Sus scrofa: one gene and its partners. The protein of the gene in region 1 purifies or fractionates together with the protein of each later gene. This does not show direct contact. Links are inferred from orthologs where the notes say so. Each region holds a gene or a part of one and is shown in the gene's direction. Other genes may lie near its edges. The genes, in order: EIF4G1, USP10 and EIF3J.

Evidence for each region.
Region 2: the proteins of EIF4G1 (region 1) and USP10 purify together in Homo sapiens (affinity purification with mass spectrometry; 4 studies listed by BioGRID, with this or other methods). This does not show direct contact. The link is inferred for Sus scrofa from reciprocal best matches to the Homo sapiens genes EIF4G1 and USP10.
Region 3: the proteins of EIF4G1 (region 1) and EIF3J purify together in Homo sapiens (affinity purification with western blotting; 3 studies listed by BioGRID and IntAct, with this or other methods). This does not show direct contact. The link is inferred for Sus scrofa from reciprocal best matches to the Homo sapiens genes EIF4G1 and EIF3J.

The regions. Positions count from the first base shown.
Region 1 is NC_010455.5:122,202,195-122,206,407, forward strand, and holds the start of EIF4G1 (eukaryotic translation initiation factor 4 gamma 1), read left to right. Parts: upstream 1-1,311; 5' UTR 1,312-1,464; intron 1,465-1,916; exon of another isoform or gene 1,917-2,284; 5' UTR 2,285-2,341; intron 2,342-2,558; 5' UTR 2,559-2,592; coding exon 2,593-2,652; intron 2,653-2,888; exon of another isoform or gene 2,889-2,948; coding exon 2,949-3,035; intron 3,036-3,520; coding exon of another isoform or gene 3,521-3,541; intron 3,542-4,086; coding exon 4,087-4,213.
Region 2 is NC_010448.4:4,040,653-4,044,816, reverse strand, and holds the start of USP10 (ubiquitin carboxyl-terminal hydrolase 10), read left to right. Parts: upstream 1-1,277; 5' UTR 1,278-1,393; coding exon 1,394-1,414; intron 1,415-4,164. UniProt on the Homo sapiens protein: Hydrolase that can remove conjugated ubiquitin from target proteins such as p53/TP53, RPS2/us5, RPS3/us3, RPS10/eS10, BECN1, SNX3 and CFTR.
Region 3 is NC_010443.5:127,016,402-127,020,558, reverse strand, and holds the start of EIF3J (eukaryotic translation initiation factor 3 subunit J), read left to right. Parts: upstream 1-1,294; 5' UTR 1,295-1,428; coding exon 1,429-1,477; intron 1,478-1,562; coding exon 1,563-1,666; intron 1,667-4,157. UniProt on the Homo sapiens protein: Component of the eukaryotic translation initiation factor 3 (eIF-3) complex, which is required for several steps in the initiation of protein synthesis.

The DNA.
Region 1 (4,213 bases):
AGGGAGCCAGCCAGTCAGACATGATAAAGTCACAGAACTCAAATGAAGAGCATCACAGAGAACACTCTAGATCTTTCATTTTTCTATGGTTCCTCCTCTATGTGTCTATTCTGCTCTCCTTTCTTTGGAGCATCAGTTACTCATCCAATGGGAATAATGATACAATCCATTTTGTAAGAAGTTGTAAGGATTGAGATCACAAGGGTCATATATTCAGAGTGACCAGTTCATCATTGGTGCCAAAGAAATTGTTTTCCTGTGAGATTATATGTGTTTGGATACAGAAGGGGGCAGATGTGGAGGAGAGAGAAGAAATAGCCTTTGCTAGGCACCTAGGCACTGTTTTAAGCACTTTCACAGGAATTAACTCCTTTAAATCCTCACAATGGTGGGTAAAAGTTCAAACTTGAGCTAGACTGCCTAGTTTCAAGTATTTCCTTTTTTTTTTTGTCATGCCCATGGCTTCCTGCAGTTTCTAATTTCTAAGCTAGGGATCAAACCTGTGCCACAGCAGTGACACCAGCCAATGCAGCTGAGCCACACAGAAACTCCAAATAGTTCCATTTTACAACCTATAAGTAAGTAGTAGAGTTTGGATTAAATTCTGGGGCTGACTAGGAGTAAGTAGATTTGACTCTAGTATGTCCCTTCAGGCAGTTTAAAATCTTTTGGCTACTGGGCAGGGAGGGGTCTTGGGATTACTTGTTCCACCACTATTTGAAGTTTGTGTGATTGCTTTTAGTTCCTCCCTGGGAATGGCCGATTTTTATTCTTTATAAAAGACAAATCTAGTAGTTCCCTTATTAAAGATCCCACGTTGTCACTGCAGCGGCTCGGGCTGCTACTGTGGCACGGATTCCATCCGAGGTCAGGGGACTTCCATATGCTGGAAGATGTGGCAAAAAAAAAAAAAAAGAGACAAATTTACTAATTCCCTAGTTAGAATGTTTCAATCCTTATTAAACATATAAACATTCAGTTTAATAAGTCTTTTATTGATCTAATCTACATTACTTTCAAAGGCTGCCTAACGTGTGTTTCTTTCCGCATTTGTACCATGATTTACTTCGGCAGGACTGAGTCTTTAATTTCAGTATTCTCAGCCCCCTGCCAGCACTTAGCCTAGCATTCAGTATGCACTCAATAAATGCCTGCTCAAAGTATGAATGAACTAAAGAATCGCGGAACTGAGTCGCAGAGGGGGATCGGTCTGGGAATTCCAAAGTTCGGGAGGGGACACGGGGGCGGGCAGTGGCTGTCACATGACTAGGCGGGGCAAATCCCATGTGCTTCGCGGCACCGGGCAAGGCTCCGCCCTCTGCGCCGGTCACGTGGGGGCGCCGGCTGCGCCTGCGGAGAAGCGGTGGCCGCCGAGCGGGATCCGTGCGGGGAGCCGGAAATGGTTGTGGACTACGTCTGTGCGGCTGCGTGGGGCTCGGCCGCGCGGACTGAAGGAGACTGAAGGTAAAGCCGCCATGTCCGGGCCCGACCCGGCCCCCCCATCCCCTCCCCCCGCATCCGCCGCCATCCGGGCCGGGACCGGCTACCCTGCGCCGCCTCCCCGGCGCCCTGGCTCCTCGGCCCAAGCCCGGGCCCCGGGCCGCCAGGGCCCGATCCCCGGCCCACGTGTGCCCGGCCTGGCCCGGCCTGGCTGCTGGGTGGGGGTGGGGGAGCGCGGGGCCGGAATATGCGGTCCCCGCGGGCTGGGAGGGCGCCGGGTTTCCCGGCTGCTAAGTGCCACCTCGGCCCGACCCGAGGAGGCCCTACGGGCGCAGGCACCGCGACTCCCGGCCCGCCGCCCCCTCCCCCCTTTGCGGCCCGGCCGCCGGGAAGTGACACGTTGTTCTTTGGCACTGGCCGGCGCTGCGCAGGGAGGGCGCAGGGGAGGGAGGCGGCGGCGGCGGGCAGGGAGGAGCCCCCGGCCCCGCCCGCCCTCCAGGCCGACCCTCACTTGCTTCAAACCGGCTCTTCTTCGGCCGCCGCCCGCCTGGCCTTTTACGGCCCGACTGCCGCTTTTCCTGGCCTCCACTCCTGGGCGGCGGCAGGCCTCGCCTCTAGCCCCGTGCGGGTGCACCCGCGGCCACCCGCGGCAGGCGTGCCTTGTGTGCCCCTGGGCCAGGCCCCGAACCCGGTGTCCCCGGGTGGGGGGTGGGGACACCACGGCCGAAGCTGCTAGCTCCGTTTGTGATCCGGGAGCCTGGTGCCAGCGAGACCTGGAATTTCCGGTCTGGTTGGTCTTGGGCCCCGCGGAGCCAGGTTGATACCCCCCACCTCCCAACCCCAGGCCCTCGGATGCCCAGAACCTGTAGGCCGCACCGTGGATTTATTCTTAACCGAGGGGGTGAGTGAGGGGCTGTTTCAGCAGATCAGGGGGGGTGGTTGGAGCTGCGGGTCTGACAAGGTGTCGGTGGGGACATAGGCTGGGTTTTATGCTCCTTCACCTTTTTGGCGATTCCGGGGCTTGTTGTGGGACCCAGACCTTGCTTCATCCCTCCCCCACTCCATTTGCCTTAAGCTTGGGTCCCTTCCCCTTTCCGAGCTCCGCTCTTTCCCAACAGGTGCTGGGGGGACCCTGATGTGGCACCAAATGAAATGAACAAAGCTCCACAGCCCACAGGCCCCCCACCTGCCCCATCCCCTGGACTCCCACAGGTAATTAGGGAGGAATTAGCAGCAACTGGGGTGGGGGTGGGGGAGACCAGGCAGCCGGGTCAGGAACAGGTTCCAACCTCTGGATTTTCCCACCCCCTTCTGTGTCAGGGCAAAGTGCAGCTTCCTGCTGCCAAATTGAGGCAGGGCCCCGGGGCTGTTCTTAGGGGCTGTCTTGGGGAGGGTATATGTGGACTGTTGAGGCTCTTGCCACAGCTCTGCTCCCCTTACTTCACCAGCTTGAGTTTCTGCCCCACCTGGGTTTCCCCTCTTGCTGAATTCTGGTCTCCCCCCTTCAGCCAGCGTTTCCCCCGGGGCAGACAGCACCGGTGGTGTTCAGTACGCCTCAAGCGACACAAATGAACACGCCTTCTCAGCCCCGCCAGGTGAGGGGCTGTGGGGAGGGGAGTAGGGGGCCTGGGTGGGAACCATGTGAAGCTTAGGCCAGTTTGGGCCTAGGATGGAAACTATGGAGGCCTTGTACCTGCCCCAACTTCCTGACAGTTGCTTTCATGCGGTTCTGCACTTTGCACTGTTGATTACTTACGGTGGCTGGCCCCTTGGAGTATGTAGTTGGTGGGGATGGCATTCCTAGGGGTCCTGGTGCCTTGGGGGCAGTGCTTTGGGCCCTGCTGCCAACTCCTGCTTTCCTGTTTTCTTTTACTGGGAGGTTGCCATTGCTCCATTCCCCATCCATCTTTCTCTTTTGGACTGTGGCAAGATAAACACTCCAGCTAGTTCTTGCCTTTCTCTGTTCCCTAAATTCTTCCTCACAAGTGGGAGAGGATTCTTGTCCTGCTTCCTTCATTTTCTTTCCCTCCTCATCACCTTGGGGATAATTCTTTTCTTTCCTGTCCCCATGTGCTCTCAGGGAGGATTCAGGTCTCTGCAGGTAATACCCCATTGCTAATCCTGAACTCTCTCCGGGTCTCACCCTTACACTCTGCCCTAGTCAGGGGCTAGACTCAGTCTGGGTCCTCAGTCTGAGGCTGACCGATGCATGTTAGGGGCTAAATCTTGTGTAGTTCACATCTGGGAACTGGGAGACTGTTGCATGTTAGCGGTGAGCTCCTCAGTACCTTAGGGTGGAGCAGTGCATGCTGGGGAGTATGTTGCTGAAAAAGGCTTTACTTAGGCATGATGCATCTGGGTGTTAGGAAGCCTCTGCTGAAGGATAGCCTGGTGAGGTGATCTGAGTATGCATGGCAGGGAGGGAGTAAATATACAGAGTGCCAAGTGTATACCTGAGTTTGGAGGGCGTATGTGAGTATAAGAGGCCACTTAGCCATCACTTGGTCAAGTGAGTCTTGGAAGTGTTGGTCTTCATGCTCCAAAGCCCCTGGTACTTCTCTCCTGACTAGAGACATAGTGGAATGGCCCTTTTGCTGTCCACCTCCTCCCCTTCCCATTGCCAACTGCCTTCCTCCCTCCTGACAGCACTTCTACCCTAGCCGGGCCCAGCCCCCGAGCAGTGCAGCCTCCCGAGTGCAGAGTGCAGCCCCTGCCCGCCCTGGCCCAGCTGCCCATGTCTACCCTGCTGGATCCCAAGTAATGATGATCCCTT
Region 2 (4,164 bases), on another chromosome or scaffold:
GTGTTTGTGAACCTGCTGAGCAACAGTGGGAACTCCAAGGCATTCTATTTTTGAAAAGACCAGGCCCCTTGCCTTATGGAACCTGGTAATGGATTTACTGTTGATCTCCTCTGCTTAGCAGTGGAGTCTGGAGACTAGCCGCTGTATTCCCTGAGCACATGAGAACAATAATGGAGTCACAGTAGCTAATTGTTATTGAGGGTTGGATCTCTTGGCCAGTGGGCTCACTCTCATTTGATAGTCACAGAAATCTTATGAAATTAGAAATTTTATTGGGATTTCCCCGTTGTGGCTCATCGGAAGCGAATCTGACTAGCATCCGTGAGGACTCAGGTTCGATCCCTGGCCTCGATCAGAAGGTTAAGGATCCAGCGTTGCCGTGAGCTGTGGTGTAGGTCGCAGATGCAGCTCACATCTGGCGGGGCTGTGTCTGTGGCTGTGGCTACAGCTCCGATTTGACCTCTAGACTGAGAACCTCCATATGCTGTGGATGCGGCCGTAAAAAAAAAAAAAAAAAAAAATTAGTTTCACTCACAGGTAAGGAAACCAAAGGTTTAGGAATGGGAATTAACTCGCCTGAATCACTCAGCTCGAGAGGGTCAAAGCCGGTGGCGGTAAACTGCGTGGTCAGGTAGGGGTCACTGTTTCTTGAGTCAATGACCCGAAACTGGTCTGTCTGGATACTTGCACGTATGTGTGTGATGGGTGACACTTAGTGCTCACTATTTGTCAGGCCTCAATCATAGGCGCTTTTATGTGTCCGTCCTTTTTTTTTTTTTTTTTTTTAAATCTCTAAATATATTCTCCCATGCCTATGGCACCTCAGTGTTTGGGTAATGAACGAAAAGTGAATAAGTGAATGAATGGACGGATGTGACCGCCGTAAGCCGAGACTACTCTGAGGTCTTCGGCCCTCAAGTCGGGGACCCGGGCCCAGGGAGGCCCTAGGCTTTGGCGGCGGGGGCCGAGGTCCGGCCGCGGCACTCGGGCTCCGGCCCTCCTCGCCCGCGCAGCACCCAGGTGGCCTCCGGGCAGGTGAGCAACCCAGGCCGACTGGGCGCTTTGGCGTAGTCAGCTCTGCCCGCTAGGGTTTTCTCTTCCCGCCGCGCGGCCCGCCCCGGAGCTCCCGGTCCGCCGCTGACCCGCCGGCCTCCGCGGAGGTGCGCGGGCCCCGAGTCCACCCGGGCCGGGTTCCCGCGTTGCACGCCCACCTGTCGGCCGCGCATGCGCAGCGCGCGCCCGGCGCGCCGCCTCCCCGCGCCCCGCGGCGCGCGGTCAGTGCGCAGGCGCGGCGGCGGATGCGAGTGTGTATGTGCGGGCGAGAAGATGGCGGCGGCGGGGGAAGCAGCGTGAGGACTCGGACGGGCGCCGAGGCTCATTGAAACGGGCCGCCATGGCCCTCCGCAACCCGCAGGTAGCCGCTGGCCGGCGCTCTCGGCTGGAAGGCGTCCCGAGCGGCGGGCGGGCCGGCCCCGGGGCTGGTGGGCGGGCGCCCGCACCCTGGCCCGAGCGAGCGTGTGGGAGTGGGGGAGGGCGCCGGGACATGCTGCCCGGGACTAGGCCCCGGGCCTCCCGCCGCCTCCGCGCCTCGGCCGCCGGCAGCCCGGCCGGCCCGGCGCCGGAGCCCGCCGGGCCCCCGCCTTGGGGGAGCGGCGAGGAGGGGGCGCCGGGGCCCGCCTGGAGCGGGCGTGTGGGGCGCGAAGGGGTTAACCTCGGGGCTGGCCCGCGGGCCGAGCCGGCGGTGCAGCCGGGGCCCTCGTCGCCCGGAAAGGCAGCCTGGGGCCTCGGGAGGCCCCCGAGGCGGCAGAACCTTCCACGCCCTCAGCTCGCTTCTCGGCCCGGAGCGAATCACCAAGATTTGGGGGTGGCCGGATTTCCCCTGTGCCCCCCAGGGTTGCTTTCGCAGCTTGATCAACCCCTGGGTGGGGGGGCTTGTCGGTTTTCTGGCTTTTAGATTCAAGTCACTAAGAAGCAGCTTAAGGTTACAGTTGCAAAGAAACTCGAAATAACTCGCCGGGACCGCACTTTGACTTGCCTTTGAGTGACTTCTTTTGCACGAATCCCTCTCCGCCAAGCTGACACTCCTAACGCACCCTGTCAGAGCCGTGGGTCAGGCTTAGGGGTTGTTTATAATAATCCCGTGGTGGAAAGAAAGAGTAAAACGCCGCTTTCAAAAGGGAGACTTGTGTGTTGAGTTGAACTTTTTTCCCCCTCTCCCACTCCCCGAAATTCAGTGAATTTGAGTAAAAATGGGCATGTGGTATTAACTTGTCCGGCTGGCTGTAGACCGCCGATTTGTCGACTTTTAATCCTAGGAGTTATTGCGAAGTTTCCATCATCTATCTCATTGTGCTTTTGTATTAAATCCGCGAGCATGAAACAAAGTAAGTATTGGAAGGCTGGCGACCAGTAAATCATAACCCTGTATAAGCAAGTGGCTTTTGTTGCCTCTTTGGAAATGGAGTCGATTTTAATAACTTGTAACTGATGCGTGTTGTGGAATTTAAAGTGAGGAAAATTGCAGAAAATTAAATTTTACAGGAACCTGCAGTTTTGTGAAGTTTTTGGCACTTGAGTGTGCTCTCCAACTTGCTGCCTTTAACTTTCTGCACTTGTACATCAACTTTTAAAGTAGTTCTTTGCATAAAAGAAGGGCTTCGTTGCATAAGTTTTTCAAATGTGTAATTGGAAGATTTTTTTTTTTTCCCCTTAAGACATTTGGTATTTGCCTTTCTCTTAAAGTAAATAGCTGCAAAATAGGTAAAGGTTCATTATGCACGAATGGGTAATATGATATTCATAGTGATTTTAGAATGGGGAAATCGTGTTTAGGCAGAATTTACTTGCACTTTTTTTTTCCTTTTTGATGGCGCTGGAAGCAGCGGGGCAGTTCCCCCGACAGGGATGGAACCTGTGCCACAGCAGTGACCCAGCTGCTGCAGTGACAAGGCCAGATCCTTAACCCTCTGTGCCACAAGGGAACTCCATCACTTCTGTTAAGCACCAGTTGCAGTGCAAAATTGATTGAAGTGTTAATGAATGGAGATAATCTGTAAACTAGATTGTAGTTTCTTTTGCTTTCATTGTCCTGGTATTTATGTTTGTTTGTTTGTTTTTTGTGATTTCTTGGGCGCTCCCGCAGCTTATGGAGGTTTCCAGGCTAGGGGTCCAATCGGAGCTGTAGCCACCGGCCTGCGCCACAGCCACAGCAACTCGGGATAAGACCCAAGTCTGCGGCTCACAGCTCATGGCAACACTGGATCCTTAACCCACTGAGCAAGGCCAGGGATCAAACCCACAACTGCATGGTTCCTAGTTGGATTCATTAACTACTGCGCCACGACGGGAACTCCAGGTATTTATGTTTTATACAGCAGTATTGCTTGTACACATCTTTCTCGAAAATTGAGTGGCAAAGTAAGGTAAACTTAAATGTTAGCAACACTTTGGGTTTATTCTTTTAAAGTATGATTTAAATACTTTTAAATTCTAGCTTGGAGAAAGTAGGAAAGAGTATAATTTCTTGTATTTCTTTTTTTTTTTATTATTCTTAATTCTTTTTGAAAGAACAGTAGTGAAGGAGTTTCTGTCGTGGCGAGGCAGAAACGAATCCAACTAGGAACCGTGAGGTTGCTGGTTTGATCCCTGGCTTCCCTCAGTTGGTTAAGGGTCCGGTTGCCTTGAGCTGTGGTGTAGGTCGCACGAGGCTTGGATCCCCCATTGCTGTGGCTGTGGTGTAGGCCGGCAGCTCCAGCTCCAGTTGGACCCCCGGCCTGGGAACCTCCATGTGACTCGGGTGCAACCCTAAAAAGACAAAAAAAAAAAAAAAAAAAAGAGAATAGTAGTGAAAACATCGATAACATGGTTGAATGATTGGATCCTGCTTGAGTCAGGCTGAATATTTTAAAGAATTTATTTTATTCAGTTACCTGCTGTCTGAGGGTCTGCAGCCTTAATGGCCGCGTGTTGATGGAGCACTCAGTCTGTGCACAGCACCATCAGACTGCCGCGTGGTACCTGTTTATGATTGGAGATGACAACCACAAATTAACAGTAGCGGGCCTATTTTAAAATTAGCTTGTTATGGTTAAAACATTTGTATAGGTTATATCCTATTTCTTTTCTTTTCTTTTTTTCTTTTTATTTTTTTGGTCTTTTTTTTTT
Region 3 (4,157 bases), on another chromosome or scaffold:
CTGGGCTGCAGAATATCTTTTGGAAGACCATCTTTATAAAATGTGGTCTATTTGTAGACTCACTGAAAAAGATACATAAGAAATGGGGAACACTGGTTGCCACCAGAAAGAACATAATGGCTGATCATCCTATATACCCATTTGAATGAATGTTGTACCAAGTACGTATGTTACATATTCAAAACTAAGAAATTAAGAAAACAACAAAAACAAAAATATGTTTAACAGCTCACCTTTTAAAATCCTGAAGTGGAGCTCAGTGGCCCAAGCTAGGTGCAGCTTAGCTCATCTTAAACCCTTTAGTATTATAAATTTATCTTTTCAGCTTATCTCTGATTGCGCCATTCAGTCAGAACAGGGACCACAAGCATAAAAGGCACTGAACACATTTCACTTGGTTGGTCTTTAAAACTCTTTATCGGCCTCACTTACCCTCAGGTAGCCTTTCATATATCCTACCTCTCTTCTCTGCGGTTAATGCTATCCTTTTACACTAAACCTCACAATGCCTTTTTGTTGCAGTCATCTCACTGTGTCGAAATTTGTTTATATGTCTATACTTGAGTGAGCGAGGACAAGGCTAGAGCTTACGCTTAGCGCAGATCGAGTTCCGAAATTATTCTGCGAAAAGAATGAATAATGTATTGACTTCAGGGGGCTCACAGGAAGGAAAAATTCTTGAACATGGGGACTCCCTTCCATATCTTCGTGACTACCTGGAGGCAAACGTGCCAGGAGCTGACTGAACACCCTGACTGGGAAGACTGCCAGGAGCTTGGCCCTCTCTATTCGCTTCTTCCTGGCCGCCCCATGCACCACCGGCTTCCAGAGGGATCCCGCCTCGTTCCGCCAGCGACCGCACCCTCCTGGGGTCGGGGAGCCAGGCGACTGCCGCCACAGGCGGGCTCGGCGTTCAGAGCCCACTTCTGAGTGCCGCGTGGAGAGGCTGCGGGTTTCCTTGGGACCAGCCAGAGGCCAAGGGTGGCGATCCATGTGAACAGAAGGAGGGCGCACCCGACCGGTCCGGGCGGGTATGGGTTAGGATGGCAAGGGCAGGAGAGAGCCAAGCACCGGGAAAAGGACTGCCCTGCTAACTTCGCCGCACTTACATTTTTCTCCCCAGGGCGTAGGGTGGCTGCCTCCTAGCCTCTTCCTCTCTCCCCACCCCACTAGCAGACAGGACCACCCTGCTGGGTGCGTGGGGTACTGGACGCTCCGCCTCGCCCACCGCGTTCCACGCCCCCTTCCCGCCCGCGAGAGCATCGCCGCCGCCGCCGCCGCCAGAGGGGGAGGAGCCTGGGCCCCGGCGTTAAGTCAGCCACAGTCCCAGCCTGCCCCGCGCCGGCAAACGAGAGCAGATCCAGTGACTCACTGCCGCGCTAACTCCTCGCTCGCTGTCGCCTCACACACGCTCATACCCGGCGCGAGATGGCGGCGGCGGCGGCGGCAGCAGCGGCGGGGGACTCCGATTCTTGGGGTGAGGAGAAGTTCCGGGGGTAGGCCGGGGCTGGCGCCAGCCCCACGCCCAAGCAAGCTTTAACACAGCTCGCTCTCTTCCGTAGACGCAGACACGTTCTCCGTGGATGACCCAGTGCGGAAGGTGGGGGGCGGCGGCACCGCCGGCGGGGACCGCTGGGAAGGCGAGGACGAGGACGAGGACGTCAAGGTGGGTGCGGGTCGGGGCTCCGGCCAGCGCGGGAGCGAGCTGGCGCCGTCGCGGGCCGGGGTGCTCGCCGAGGGGCGGTCGGTCGGACGGACTCTGGGCCCAGAGGCGCCGCCCCGGCCTGCGGGCTGTGGGTCTAGGCGCAAGCGTAGGGCCTGGTGGTGCCCTGTTCCCCTCGCTCGCCGGCCCTGGGGGCCGGAGGCCGATAGCGTGGTCTCTCGGATTTCCTTGGCGAGGACGCCAGCCCCATCCCTTTGAAGGACCGCACTCCGGCCTGGATCCCACTCGCCAACTGGCGACGGGAGGTGACAGCAGAGGCTGGACCGGCCCACGTGCAAACTTCGCGGTCCGGAGCTGCTCTTCAGTGGTGAGACTGGGAAGTTGAGGATGGAGCCTCTGGCTTATCCCATATGGAAAGTCTTGCACCCCATTGCTTTTTCGAGCTCAGGTTTCCCCAGGCCAGTAACTCATTTACATCCCAAGCTTCATTTGAAGAGTTTGTTCGAGCTGTTAGAGGAGTGAAATATTATGATTTAATTTCAGCCACCTTTTTTTCCCCCCACGCAAATGAAAGAATTTTTAGCTTCCTTTCTCCCACCCTATGGTAAAAGGGTGAACTGAGTATTGAGATAGCTAGCAGTTAGTGGTCAGAAACCTGGGTAGTCCACACAGCGACCTGAAAAATGGAGAGGTTTACAGAGTGAGTTTTTAATAACCTACACACGAAAGCATAAGGAAATAATGAAGATTTGAAGGTTGGAGAAGACGAGGGAGACAGTGATTTTTTGTGTGTTTTTCCTATGCCTTATAGATTTGAACCCAACTTACTCTCGCTGTTTGTTTATGAAAACTCCTGGGGGCTCATCATAAGACTTCAGATGACATTATGACTACTGCGTTTTGTTTTTGTTTTTGTTTTTGTTTTCAAGTATCTACAGAGTCTCAAGGGTGGAATGTTAAGACTTATTAACTAAGTTCTCAAATACTTCATTTTTGTGAAAATCAAGTTTTGTATGATTTGGAAATTTTTTTTATGGTTTTGATTCATTTGGTGAATGTTTACCCTTCAGCTCACTTTGACAACCCTACAAGTCCTTCTGCTTGTGTTGAAAAAAATTTAAGCTAGATAATCACTATGAGCTTCATATTAATATTGCCTTTTTTAGATTGTACCCTTTTCTCCTGAATCTGATGAGGTGGATGTTCAATTCATTGAATTGCCTGAGGTTCAAGTATGATTTGAGTTTTGCAGACCTTGGGATTAATAAATGAGCAATAGTATTGTGAAGATACTTAGATGCTTCATTTACATGTTGTGTAGACATGAGAATGGATTGTGTTAGCCTCATTGCAAGATACTAGTTACCTCCCTACGTGGTGGCAGATTTTCTGTCTTGAACCTTTAGTTCAGATTTATCCTTTTACTTTTTCTGTGCATAGTGGTTGTAGGAGTTAAGACATCTGTTAAGAAAATTAGGAATGAGTGAGAAGAAACAACTAGAGAAATCAGGAAAGAATTACCAAAATACGAAGTTTGAATAAAGTAGTCTGGATTAATATCATGAGGTAGCGTGCCTGAAATTATTTGATATAAATGCCATCAATCCTGATAAATACAGTTCTAGCCACTTGAAATTAATTTTGGACATTTTTAATTGGTGAGGGACCATAAAGATCATCTTGTCCAGTCATTTTTAAGTGCAGAATTTCTTTCTTTTATACAAATAGCGTACTTCTTTTACAGAAACTTTGATGTAGATCTTGGAATAGAAAGCTGAACTTGTTCATTTTATTTCCATGTTGAAATATTGGTTTATTTCTGTTTAGTTTCTCCAAAGATTTCTAAGATAAGGTATCCATGGAGTAGTTTGATTCCTGGAATTTGGAATCAGACAGACCAGAATCTATGCTGTTGTCTTGACATTTTCTATAAAGAATTTTTAAATTTTTTAAGTTTCCCAGTCTTCACAGAAGCTACCTCAGGAAATTATTTTGCATTTTCTATTTTTTGGGGGGTTTTGTTTTTGTTTTTTGCTTTTTTTAGGGCTGCACCTGCTGCATATGGAGGTTCCCAGACCTTTGTTCCCAGACTAGGGTTCTAATCAGAGCTGTAGCTGCGGGCCTACACCACCACAGCCACAGCAACACCAGATCCCAGCCGAGTCTTCGACCTACACCACAGCTCATAGCAATGCCGGACTCTTAACCCACTGAGCGAGGCCAGGGATTGAACCCACAACCTCATGGTTCCTAGTCAGATTCCTTTCCACTGTGCCACTACGGGAACGGGAACTCCTTTTGCATTTTAAATGAGATAATGTGTCAAGCATTAAGCATAGTTACCTGGCACTTGGTAGGCGTTCAATAAATGTTAATTCCGTCTCACTTGAGGATGTAGTCTTAATTTTTCTGGTTAATGGAAAATTTGTTAAGGCTGTGTAGATCTAGTAGCTGAGGGTTATTTTTGTGCCACAGTTTGTGGTTTATTAAGCTT